Linked DNA regions of Xenopus tropicalis. The protein of the gene in region 2 purifies or fractionates together with the protein of the main gene of each other region. This does not show direct contact. Links are inferred from orthologs where the notes say so. Each region holds a gene or a part of one and is shown on either strand. Other genes may lie near its edges.

Region 1 (6,150 bases), on a different chromosome or scaffold from region 2:
TCTGGAATTAGTATTTCATATATTATTTTTTTAAATATATAATATATTGATTGGCAGTTATGGGTAAATAGAGATGACAGTTTGGTTGATAGGAAACAAGCTGGGAGTATTAGGATACCAGCAGTGCCAGGATTCTGCTCAGCTATTTTGTACCCAACCGAATGAGACATGAGGTGTAAGATTTTGGAGCAAATCAAGGGTTAAGCGATTCTGTCACAGGCAGCAATTTATAATGCAGATCACTTCCTATCATTGTATTAAATATCTTGTCATCACAACGAGACTAGGGCTGCAGAGCGGCCATCTGTGGGCATGCATTATTAATGATGGAGGCAAAGCTGATCTAATGGCAGCAAGAGGCTCCACTAAAGCGGTTGGGGGGCCACTTCTGCATCGCAGAGATCTAGCAAAGGATGCTGGGAGTGGTGTTGACAGGTTGCCTTGTAGTGCTGGGGTCCTTGGTTGTTTCTTATCTGCTTATATTTCATGTACTTAAGTGCAGCCCCCAACCAACCATTGAGGGTAATGTGTTTCCAGTCACTTTATGGCCCTAGTAGCCAAAAAAAAACATGGAGTAGCCCCCCCCATGGACTGTAATATACATTACAAAGTAAATATTATGACAGCTATAAACAGTGCCATACCCATCATGGCCCACAGCAGTCTTGCCCATATTTGGTCTGGCAGTTTGACCAACATCCACCATACTGCCTGACTGTCTAGTTATGTACGGCCAACCAGGATGGAAATTTCCACTGGTCAACTGGAAGTGAAGCGGACCCAGAACTCTCTGTGTGTATGGGGCATAGTATGCTATCTGTCCATTTGGCCAGTCAATGGATTCTGTGCCTGTGGCACACAGGGAATTTTGACTGCCAATGCTTTTTACCGGGCACCAAATTCCTACATGCCACTAGCCTAACCAGTGACACTGCTGAGTAGCTACTTGCCTTTTTTATGGTTTATTATCAGAAATCAGTATTTTGGGCACAAAGGGAAGTGCAAGGAGAGCGAAAGGCCTGTGAGTGCTGATAGCTGTATATTGGCCCAGGGAAGAAAGCCGACATCGGCACTTCTACCGCCTCCAGCCTTTATGTGTTCTGACTGCTTGACGTCTGTGAGAATACTGAGCAATCTGCAGCCTGGTCATAGGAAATGCAGGAAATCTCTGCATTAAGGAGTCCCCCTGCACAAAAACGGTGTTTTTTTTTTTATAAAAGAAAATGTCATTCTTTTCAGTAGACATTAAAAATATTCAGTGTTTTGTTAGTTGGTAAATGTCATTGCCCATGAAAGCAGTATCTGTCTGCCAGGGAAAGACCTGGAACAGATCTGACATTGTTTCAAGAGTCAGAGAATAGAGAAAAGAATTGGATAAACAAACATCACTTCAAACAGCAATTACATTTACCAATAACATTGAAAAGGTGTTTGTTTCCCTGTCTTTTCAAAGGGGATATACTCCCCCCTTTGATACCTTCCAAACCTATTTATATATATATATATTTATAAATCCAAAATTCTCATTGGCTTACAGTATAAACTGTTAAAGATTGAGTCAGAGGGTTTATCCAATTGCCAACTAATTGCCCTACTGTCTGGCACTTCGGGGGACTGTTTAATACACTGTCCCATGATCCTACTGTGTAGCCCTTAATATAACAGGTTTATCCAAACTAAAAACTGAGGTTCAATAAAGGTTCTGCACAATGTTAGCCTTGCCTAAACAATAGCCTCTCAGTCCAGTAGCCACAACTTGGGGCCCCTAAAGCCTGATGGGGACATGCCATAAAGCAGTACCAGCATAGGTATCTGGCTGCACTATACATATCTCTGCTGGGGCATTTGCCATTTTGGTGGCCTTTTATGGCTGCTGGTCCCGGCTTCAGGACAATGTCCCCATTCTGTTGCAAAGCCGCCACCTTGCCACTGAGGGTTCCTGGGGTAATCTCTACCCATCTCCTGCCCTTCAGTGCTCTATGTATTCAGCACAGTATCAGGCCATAATAGCCCCCCTGCCACTTTCCGTTAGCTTGATAGTTCCAGCAGCCTCCCAGACTCCAGGTTCTTTATTGACTCATGTCGGTCTGGTTTCCCTTTCATTAGATCGACTCGTGCAAGGTCAGACACAGTGTAATGAGCAGCCATACTTATATGGAGCGTATATATGGAACATCACAACATCAAGCCCCCATAACATGGCATCTATTTTGGTTTTTTTCCAAAACATTTCACAGATCCCTGTGGAACTACTGGAATGAAATAATAGAAGGAATGTAATGTCACACCCATTGTTGGCAATGCACTTTTGCAGTACTGATATTTTATTTGCTATTTAGTAAAGGGATTGGAAATAGAAACCAGAGCATTGCACAAGTAAATCTGATAGGGGTGACACCTGCCCGCCTTATGGCCCAGCACCCCGTGTAATGTGCAATGCGGCTTTCTCAATATGAGCCCTAATGCTAGTCTTTGGTCTCCAGACTGGGCAAGTGATTCTTGAAATTCTTTAGTGAACATTCTGCCACCTGCCCTATGCCCCCGACCCACATGTATTTTATTAGCTTCATTTATACAGTGCCAACATATTCTGCTTTACAGAGATTATACATCATTCCCATCAGTCCCTGCCCCAGTGGAGCTTCTAATCTAAAGTCCCTATTATGTTCATCTTACTTCAAGCTCCTTGCAGATAGTGGCCTGGATAGAATAGAACCTAGGGCCCCAGTACTTGTCAGCAGCCAGTTCTGCTCCAGCCAAGACCCCGATTCCCAAAATGCATTGCATGTTTAACAGGCTTGTAAAGAACATGCAAGGCATTGTTTGAAATGGTGTCTGGGCTGGAGGTGGGCTGTTTGGGCCTCTCTGCACTTAAAATGCTAGGGCTTATTTTATATCCCAGTCTAGACCTGGTTGAATACTACTACATTGTTTCAGTGGTCAGGTCCAGCAGTGCAGAGAACATCAAAGGACTTCCTGCTTTCAAGGAGAAAGAAAGCAGCATCTGCAGAGCACAGTGCTCCATATTTAAAACCTATCAGATGCCTTGGAATAATATTTTGGGCAGGGGGCCTGGGGCTGCACGTCTTCCTTCTTGAACACGCTTTTGTAAATCAGGGTGGAAAACTCTCATCGTACCATAGGCTGACGTAAATACATGTTTCTCCTGTGCCTTGCTGCCTCTTGGCTTTTCCAGATGTATGTGCATGAAGCTAGGGGCATTCCAGGGGATGCCCATATTCTCAGGGTACAACTTTTTGGGCTGCATTCTAGGTCAAAACTGTGAGGCAAAATGTAATGTTTTGGCCTGTTTTTTTGCATGCTGCAAATATATACATATATAATACCCTCACAATATACAGGCCACAAGCACCCTCGGGGATGTGAGATTGTGAGATGCCAACAATACATGAATAGGTATTCCCCTGTGCTTAGCAAAATCTATCTGAAAGATGTTTTTTACCTCTCGCATTGGTTGTATTTTTGTATATAATCTGTATGTTTACACCTCTGTGGAATATTTCCAGTCCTGGCCCAGTTACCAACATTCTTTTTCTGAATCTTTCAGCTGGACGATGCAGGGAGCAGTCTGGAGGAAGGGACCAGCAGCGCTGACATTTCCGACCCCATTGAAAATCTTGGTACAAACCAGGCCTTGGAAGGAGACTATGGTTCTTCAGATTACCAACCTGGACCACTGTATCATAAAGCCCCAAACACCCTTACTAATAACGTCCCTTTAACAAAGAGCTTCCTGGATAAGTGGGCCTCGGAAGTTGACCAACTCGTTAAAGACCGCTTGCTTCCTCACTGTGGCAACGGAGAGGGCCTGCATCTCATTGTTGGAGCTGTACCTTCTGACGTGAAAATAAACGACAAAGTGTCCGTTCCAGGGGCCGTGTGGCTGGCAGCGTGCTGTAGCGCCCCCGAGGCCTGGTCTATTGGAATCATCAAGAGAACTGAGGATGTAGATAGTCTAGAGGATGTGAGCGTGGCTGAACTGGAGAAGAAACTTCTTGGAGGAGCAAATTTGTTCTCCAGCCAATGTGGAGGAGGAGCTGGCCATCCCGAGCAGAAAGAGGTCTCAGAAGCCCTGACTGATTCCGAGCCCCAAGCTAAAGCCTCTGGACCCTTTTTTAGATTTATTCAGTTCCTTGTGTGCATTGTGTATGAATTAGTGAAAAGTCTGTTGTGTCTGGTGTGGTTCCTTGTCAAGCAGATCTGTAACCTGGTGTTTGGAAGAGTGTACTGGATCTGGACCGCAGTAACCACCTATATTTTTGCATTGTGCAAAGTTCTCCTGAACATTCCATGTGATGTTCTCCGGGTGTTTGCCAATGTTGTCTGTGGCTTGGCGCGGATCCTTGACAATATCTGTTCCGTGGTGTGTCTTGTACTAAGGATACCGATGAGGTTCCTCAGTGACATGGCCAGCTTCCCATACTATACCCTCTGTGCCATTCCCAGTGTTGGTTTAGACATCTTAGGTGGCATCTTGGGGGTCTTTGCATTAGGCTTCACTGCCGTGTTTGGGGCTTTTGGTGGATCATTCTCGGTTGCATCATTTGCAGGCAGCAGCATTTTCCAGAGGTTTGTAGGACAGTCTGAGGGATACGAAGGCTGATCGGTGATAGAGCATCAGAATTTGGCCAATAATGTTGACTGATTATTTTGTGCTGGCACTTTACTGAAAGTCATTTGTATTTCCCGTGGGATCCATACCGATTTACCTTTTGTTTCTGTCATGTAGATCTACGTTTTGTATCCACGAGAACCTCTTTAGATGGGACGCTGGCTTTGAGTAAATTGTCCAGGAAGGGGCAGCTGCTTTGGCTCTTATCTGGGTTATGGTGATTTGGGGACTCTTAGGTTGGGGTATACTTAGGCACTTTGGCAAAATCACTGGTGGGGTCATGTTGAAGGGCAAAGCGGGTATTTTCTTTCCTCTCATTAACTCTTCAGTAAATGTCCGATACAAAACGACCCAGTACAGAAGAATTTGATGTCTCTAGACCTTCCCCATCAGCAGCTGAATAACAGAAATATTGAATTGTACTCCCATTAGAGCTCGCAGTTGTACGGATTCAGGCTAGAGAGTATTCAAGTCTAAATATAGGAAATTAATGACTTTGTAGGTACCTTGTTGATGCGAGGGATTGGACTTCATTTACAAAGTCACAGCCTTTAATCCAGGATAAAGATGGTGTGTGCCATAGGGCAGTCTAATCCACAGAGCCAATGACACAGGGAGGGCAAATTAGATATAGACACCGGCTCTGGGTGTGACCCTTTTCTATATAGGGGAGCAAAGACCCCATAGAGTCTATTGTATTTTAAAGGTTTGGGACTCCCTCTACCTGATTGAGTTATAATATATTGAATTTAAAATACAAACATAAAACCCTGATGCCCTTGAATATTCCTACAAATTATCATTATTACATAGGATACCTATGCTGGCCCATGTGGCATTATGATTATTATGTTAGGGCATTATAATAAAAGGGGGGTGTCTGGCCGGCCAGCCTGCGGAGACAATAGCAGCTTAGGGAAGCCTGAAAGTGCAGGATGAGCCAGTATCACATTCATAGACACTAAAGGGAAAAATAGGAAAAGGGAACATTTTAATAAAGGGCAGTGGGGTGATCCCATTACACTGGGAGGGGGGTATTCAATTTCGAGAAAACCAAAAAGTGTGAAAAATGTTGACTGCTAGTAACTGGGCCCCTTAAGGTTTAGTTCTCCTTGTGCCATGTGAGTTCCTCTAAGGTTTTTCGGGTCATAGTTGTGTAACCATGTCCGTAGGGTTCTACCAATCCCAGGGGCCAGGGAGCCATTGCTTCTACCATTCCTCCCTTACTCCCAAGTATTTGTGGGAAATATTTTCTATGTCGTTACCCAAGTGCTCCCCCCATGTCCCCTATACCATGTCTCGGGATAGCTGGGCCGCTTCCTAACTTTTTAATACCTTCGTCCCGTTTTCCTTCATAAGTCGTAGGTCACTTTAGTTGAGCTCTAAAACTGTAGTAGGACGTTCCATTCCCAGTAAGTGTCCATCTTCCATGTACAGAGAATACAGCATGGAGCCGCGGAACCGATATAGTCTTGGTTTGGATCACTGCTTGTCGCCTTATGGACTTCTTCATTTTT
Region 2 (6,150 bases):
GGTGACAAAATGTGCTCATTACTATATTATCATATATTTTTTATTAACATCATTCATATTACATTAAGTTGTATTCAACTTTGTAAAACTCATATTTGCAGACAGTATGAAGAAAATGGAGAACAGAAAACAGAGACAAGATACACCTACAGTGAGTAGCTTTCAAAACTAGAATAGAAATAACAAATCCTTCTCCCAGTAAAAGTGGCTAATGCCATTGACTATTTTCATGGGATTTAAAAAGCTTGTTCCTTATTTAATCTGTTGCCATTACACTTAAGTTAGTGGCAAACTATACTCTTTAATGCTGAAAAGCCTAGAAAGAATACATAATGATTTAATTGCCTACCCTTGTTCTACTTTTTGTAAAATGACATTTAAGTAACTGTACTTCCTAGATACTGAATGGCGATCGGAAATTGTGAGCAGCAGGCATTTTGATCGAGAGATTGCGCATCAGAATCCCAGGTGAGTGGCACACAGTTTACAAAACCACAGAAATATCATTGGAAAAGTCAAATCCACTTGTTATCTATATTTCATTGTCTGTTCTTGCTACATGCTGATCTAATAGCCTACTGTATTGTAGGAGACTTGTATTCTTTGGAGATAAGGGTACTCCCTTTCCTTAATTATACTCATTAAATAAGTTACAGTAGAGACAAGGTGTCATCAACGAAAAGATAGAAGTGCTTGAGGGTTTGGATTTAGTTTTACCAAATATATAAATTTCCTGGCACCATAGACAAATTAAAATCCTTCTGGTTCTTTTCTTTTGATTGAGGGTGACAAGTGACCTCCGTTGGGAATCTGCACATTTTGTTCTGTATATTCTTACCCCAGTGGCTAACAAGCTTACGGAATGCCTACAGTGAGATGTGGAGAAACAGTGGGGCAAACAGTGATTTGTATGTTAAAAAAGTGGTGGAACAATAAATGTGTTGTCATAAAATTTCATTTGTAGGTTATGAGGGATAATGTACCCCCTACTGTCATTTGTATGGATATACTAAGTCACTGAGGAGTTCTGTGACCTTTATAACAACTGAACCTTTAAAAAGTCACATAACCTCTCAACATTATACTCTGTATAGCCCTAACTGCTGGAAAACTGACAGTTGGTCTCTTTCAGTGCCATGGCTGTGGAATCTTTTACTGCTGTATCTTCAGATGTACAAGTTGGAAGTTACTACTTGTCAAAAGGTAAGACGCTGCTTCTGGTATGGGGAGATTGGGTATATTTCAGTGCTAGAATGCCAGCAACGTGGCTATAAGTATTTTCTGTCATATTTATTGCTTTGTACTGGAGCACAGTGCACAGCGTTACAACAATCAATTATAACTAGAACTTGGGAATAAGCCACCTGATACATGTGTAAATACTGCCCTAGATCCCAAATAAAAAACATAATAATAAAGTAGTAGGCAGTTTCACACATGAATCATTAATTTGGTGCACCAAACAATCATAGATTTATCCAATATTCAAGTAAAAAATGTCTCTTAGTAAATGTATACCTAGAAATGCATAGAGTCCTGCACAGCAATCCTCTAGCAACCTATTTATGTCCACTCCCCTCTTACATTTTTCAGGTCTTGTTGATAAAATCGATAATTTCAAGCAGATGAGCCTGTCTCAGTTGGGGAACCCACATGCTGATGTGATTGCAGATGGGGGTTATTTCTACCACAGCGCCAACCCCAAAAGTCCGGAGGTATGTTGTGTTCCTTGGATTAGTAATCTATTCTGGTACATTTGAGTGAGTCTGGAATAAACTATAGTCTTTTTCTTTTACACTCAGGTGGGGGACCTGCGCATTTCTTTCTGGTACGCTGGCGTGGCCCTGGGTGGTGCCCAGTTTGGGCAGCCAGATATGGTAACTATTTAAGTTACAGGCTAATATTAAACAAACGAACATAATATGCTTCAGCTAAGGCTGGGCAAATGTGTTGTAAGCCATGAACAACTGTCTCACTCTTATACAGTAACATCATTAATGGGACTGGGCTTTGGCTCTTTCCTTTCAGTTTTAACCTGCACTGAGAGGCCAGTGGTTTTCCTTATCTAACTCTGCCTCTGGGAGAGAAGTTTTCTGCAAGTGTTTTTTTTTTTTTTTTTTACATTTCTCCACATGAAAGTGTTCCCATACATTGGGTGGGGTAAACATTATATCTTATAGCAAATTCTAAAAGTTTTTCTCAATCTATACAAATATCAGTTTAAAAAGTTGCTGAAAATGTTTCCAACTTTCTGGCACAGTTGTGGCTGATGGGTTAAAACGAATGCAATGGTGTTCTCACTTTGACATGAATCCTGCAATAATTTTCTAAGTGCGATTGGCATCATTTCTGCCGTTCGTTGTGAGAGTAACATGTGTGCCATATGCTTTTGGGCATCTGTGCTGCTCCTATTAACAGATCTAATGGATCCTTCCAATTGCATTGGGTTGTATTCTCAGTTATCTCTCTGTTTGGGCTTCAGGTCAGTGTGATTGCTCGGCAGAGAGGAGGGGAGCTGGGTGCCTATAAAACTAAATCTGGGGATGTGCTGGAGCTGTTACACATGGGGACCTACAGCGCTCAGGTGAGTAGCCTCTTCTCTTGCTCATAATGACAACAGAACAATGATTGGTGAAACTAGAAAACATGACATGGAACCCACAAGCTGTACTTCTTATTAAACCCCAGTATAAACATGGCACACAGATTTACTTCATATGTGGAGAATGGCTGCACAGCTTACTCATCCATGCAGTAGTCTAAACTGGGCATGCTCACTAGGTGGTCTCCTATAGGCCCATCAGTACCAGCTGTGATTAGCCCTAATGTAGCTGAGAGTCTGAATGGTCCCTGCAGTTTTTTCCTGGACTGAGGCCTGATTGGTTCTTTGCAGCCTGCCTTTGTGATTGGCTGATGGTATCAAACCTTGTTCCAAATTTACGACAGGGGTTGATCTTACTGTCCTACAAAGTCCAGCGCCAAATATCCATTTTAGCTAGTCTTGGCATAGAAGTCCCGCCACCAGGAAACCAAGAGACTGCCCAGCTGTAAGCCAACGCAGCTGAACAGCAACACCAACTGTCCCATTCCTGGCACATACTAGGAACAAGACAGATTAGAGCAGGCTGGCTACTATTCAATTGCTGGTGGAAACATATGGATGTGTAGTTGCCATTCTGCAATAAATGCCTCATCCTGTTATATGAATTGTTTGTTTAGGTGGTACCCTATGTCTGTGCCTTTGTCTGTGACATTTATACAGGCATGACTTTAGTTAATATGCTATTTAGCCATTTTCTGTAGTGATTATTGTTATGTCTGGCTTTAATATATTCCATTTTCTGCACTAGTGTATGTTTTCCCCGTGTCTGTCTGGGTTTCCCCATTTCTCCCATGCACCTCAAAAACACACAGACAGGTTAATTGATTCCTGAACAAAACTGACCATAGTGTGATAAGGGGCTATAGATTGTAAGCTCCACTGGGGCAGGACTGACATGAGTGATGTATAATCTCTGTAACGGGCTGCACAATATGCTTGTGCTATATAAATAAAGGATAATAATAATTATAACTGAGATAATGAAAACACACATTACTACTACTTTTCTTCTGGTCATTGCATCCTGCAGTAATACTGTGATCGAACCTGTCATCTCATGACTAGATAAAACCTATTGAAGGGAGGCAGACCTAAAGGGCAACATAACCCAAACATCTTATGTCTTTTAGGAAATGTTTGAGGCAGAACACAAGAGTAATAATCTAAAGACCTGGGCCCTGCGTGGCGCTGGCTGGCTGATGATGTTTGTTGGCATAAGCCTGATGACCAAAATATTCTACACACTGGGTAAGCTGATTTCAAGTAAATATGATGCACATGTAGGCCAGAACCTAGCAGAGTGGCTTCATGCACAGGAAGTTCCCTATATCTAGAACAGAAATATTTTAATCACATCTTGGGTAACTTATTGTAAGGTAAGATCCTAACGGGCGAATACAAATCTAACCTATAGAAGCTGGGTATATTAGCCTTTAGCCTGTACTGGGCACTCAGGTAGATTCCTCAATCCAATGAAAGTACCACAACAATATTTCATTTATAAACTTGTAGGGCAGTGGTCTAGGTCTGGATCATTGGTGGCTAGTTTTTGTGAGAATTATCTCTTGGCCATTGTAAAAGCTGAATGCCTTAAGACAGCCACACTTAGGGGCTGATTTACTAATCCACGAATCCGAATGAGAAAAATTCGGATTGGAAAAAGAACATTTTGCGACTTTTTCGTATTTTTTTGCGATTTTTTTCGTCGCTGTTACGACTTTTTCGTAACCGTTACGACTTGCGCGAATTGTCGCGACTTTTTCATAGCCATTACAAATTTCGTGAATTGTCACGACTTTTTCATTACCATTATGACTTTCGTGAATTGTTGCGACTTTTTCATAGCCATTACGACTTTCGCGAATTGTCGCAACTTTCGTATTGAGAGCTCGAAAAAGTTCGCAAATTAGCGATCATTACGAAAAAAATGCATTCGGTCGCTTTTCGGACGTTCGTGGATTAGTAAATGTGCCACATGGTGACCCCTTTGACCAGGATGATCAAATTCATACAGTATAAGCAGATATATGGTATATTTAATGGGCACCAAATTGGTTATGCCATAGTCTTTTGGCTGCAAGAAAAAAAAAAAGACAACTTGCACTTAACCCATTACCACATGTGGGGGTCATCAGCGTGTCTGGGTGAACGGGGGCTTTTCATACTGATATAATGTAGAACACTAAGAAATGAGTGGTTGGATCAGTGCTAACCAGCCATAGACTTGTGGCACATTCTGAAGGTTGGGCAGGCATGGTCAGCTTAAAGCAAATGGCCATTGAGTGTATTTACCAAGGCCATGAGCAGGTGATGTAATGGGAAATTGCTGATAGTTTGTGTAGCTACATGTTTTTAAGGCACCTGTGTTTGTTTTTGTGATGGGTTGTGTACTAACCTGCTGTAACCTCCCTACAGTTGACTGGTTTCCTCTGGTGCGGGACCTGGTAAGTCTCGGCCTGAAGATCTGTGCCTTGTGCGTATCCTCGTCCCTCTCCCTGCTGACCATCGCAGCTGGCTGGATTTTCTATCGTCCGCTGCTGGCGTTGTTGCTGAGCGCTGCTGCTATTGGCATCATTGTACTTGCAAGGTCCCGCGTACCTCCCAAAAAGTATCAATAAGTTTATGTTGCACTCACCCAAAGGGAATTTCTAATATTATCTTTGACTTTATCAGCACCACTGATTGAAAAAGGACAACCCAATGGGACAGTAAATATCCTACATTGGTGCTATTTTAGTGCATTAGACATGGGTATGGGTTGCTAACTGGAATAAGCTCTTCCTATTCTCCTTTAATGCAATGCAATAATGGTGTAAAGTTACATTACAGAAGCCACACACTGAAGCCTATTGTACCTGGCAGCATCTCCATTAATCATTGTGTACATTTTATGAAATTGGTAATTGGGCATTAAGTTAAATATCCTTCTGAACTGAAATTTGCCCCAGGTTCTGTCTGGAAGTAACTGGTGTCTGAGTAACACAAAACAAGTAGTGTTACACTTTGCCAACATGCTCCCTGGAATCTGGGTACTGGGCAAAAAATTTTTCTCTTAGGTAGAAAAGAGCTGGGCAAAGGTACAGTGCCACATAACTCCTGTTGGGGTTTTATGGCTGACATTCCTGACCCTTAGTCTTAAGCCACACAGGCCTGCATTTTATTAGAGAATCCGTCCCTCTGCTCCAACCAGCTTTCCCATGTTCCTAACCCAGAGTCATTTCATCATCCCAGGTGCAAGCACATGAAGCAAACTTGGGCGGCAAAATCTCCTCTGTTTGCCTTCACCTGGGCTGACACTAAAAGTTTATTGGAACATAGGGGCTGATTCTCGCCCTGCATTTATGTCCCATGTGGCTTAAGCCACTGGCTCTGGTATATACAGTCTGAAGGTAACCACAGCCGCTGTGTTATCAGATCTGATGGTTTAGCTCTCCCATTACAGATTAGCCCATTTCAGTCAATCCCTTTACAAAATACATCTGTGTTAACTGACCATTTATACAGTCAGACATTCATTCAATGATGTTTGCCATTAGCTTCCACGTGTA

The links.
Region 1: the proteins of tmem43 (region 2) and endod1 purify together in Homo sapiens (affinity purification with mass spectrometry; 3 studies listed by BioGRID and IntAct, with this or other methods). This does not show direct contact. The link is inferred for Xenopus tropicalis from reciprocal best matches to the Homo sapiens genes TMEM43 and ENDOD1.

Annotation. Positions count from the first base shown.
Region 1 is NC_030678.2:164,554,344-164,560,493, forward strand, and holds part of endod1 (endonuclease domain-containing 1 protein), read left to right. Parts: intron 1-3,568; coding exon 3,569-4,624; 3' UTR 4,625-6,150. UniProt on the Homo sapiens protein: May act as a DNase and a RNase. Plays a role in the modulation of innate immune signaling through the cGAS-STING pathway by interacting with RNF26.
Region 2 is NC_030680.2:132,938,158-132,944,307, reverse strand, and holds part of tmem43 (transmembrane protein 43), read left to right. Parts: intron 1-101; coding exon 102-151; intron 152-398; coding exon 399-468; intron 469-1,132; coding exon 1,133-1,203; intron 1,204-1,593; coding exon 1,594-1,715; intron 1,716-1,802; coding exon 1,803-1,877; intron 1,878-2,482; coding exon 2,483-2,584; intron 2,585-3,732; coding exon 3,733-3,850; intron 3,851-5,017; coding exon 5,018-5,220; 3' UTR 5,221-6,150. UniProt on the Homo sapiens protein: May have an important role in maintaining nuclear envelope structure by organizing protein complexes at the inner nuclear membrane. Required for retaining emerin at the inner nuclear membrane.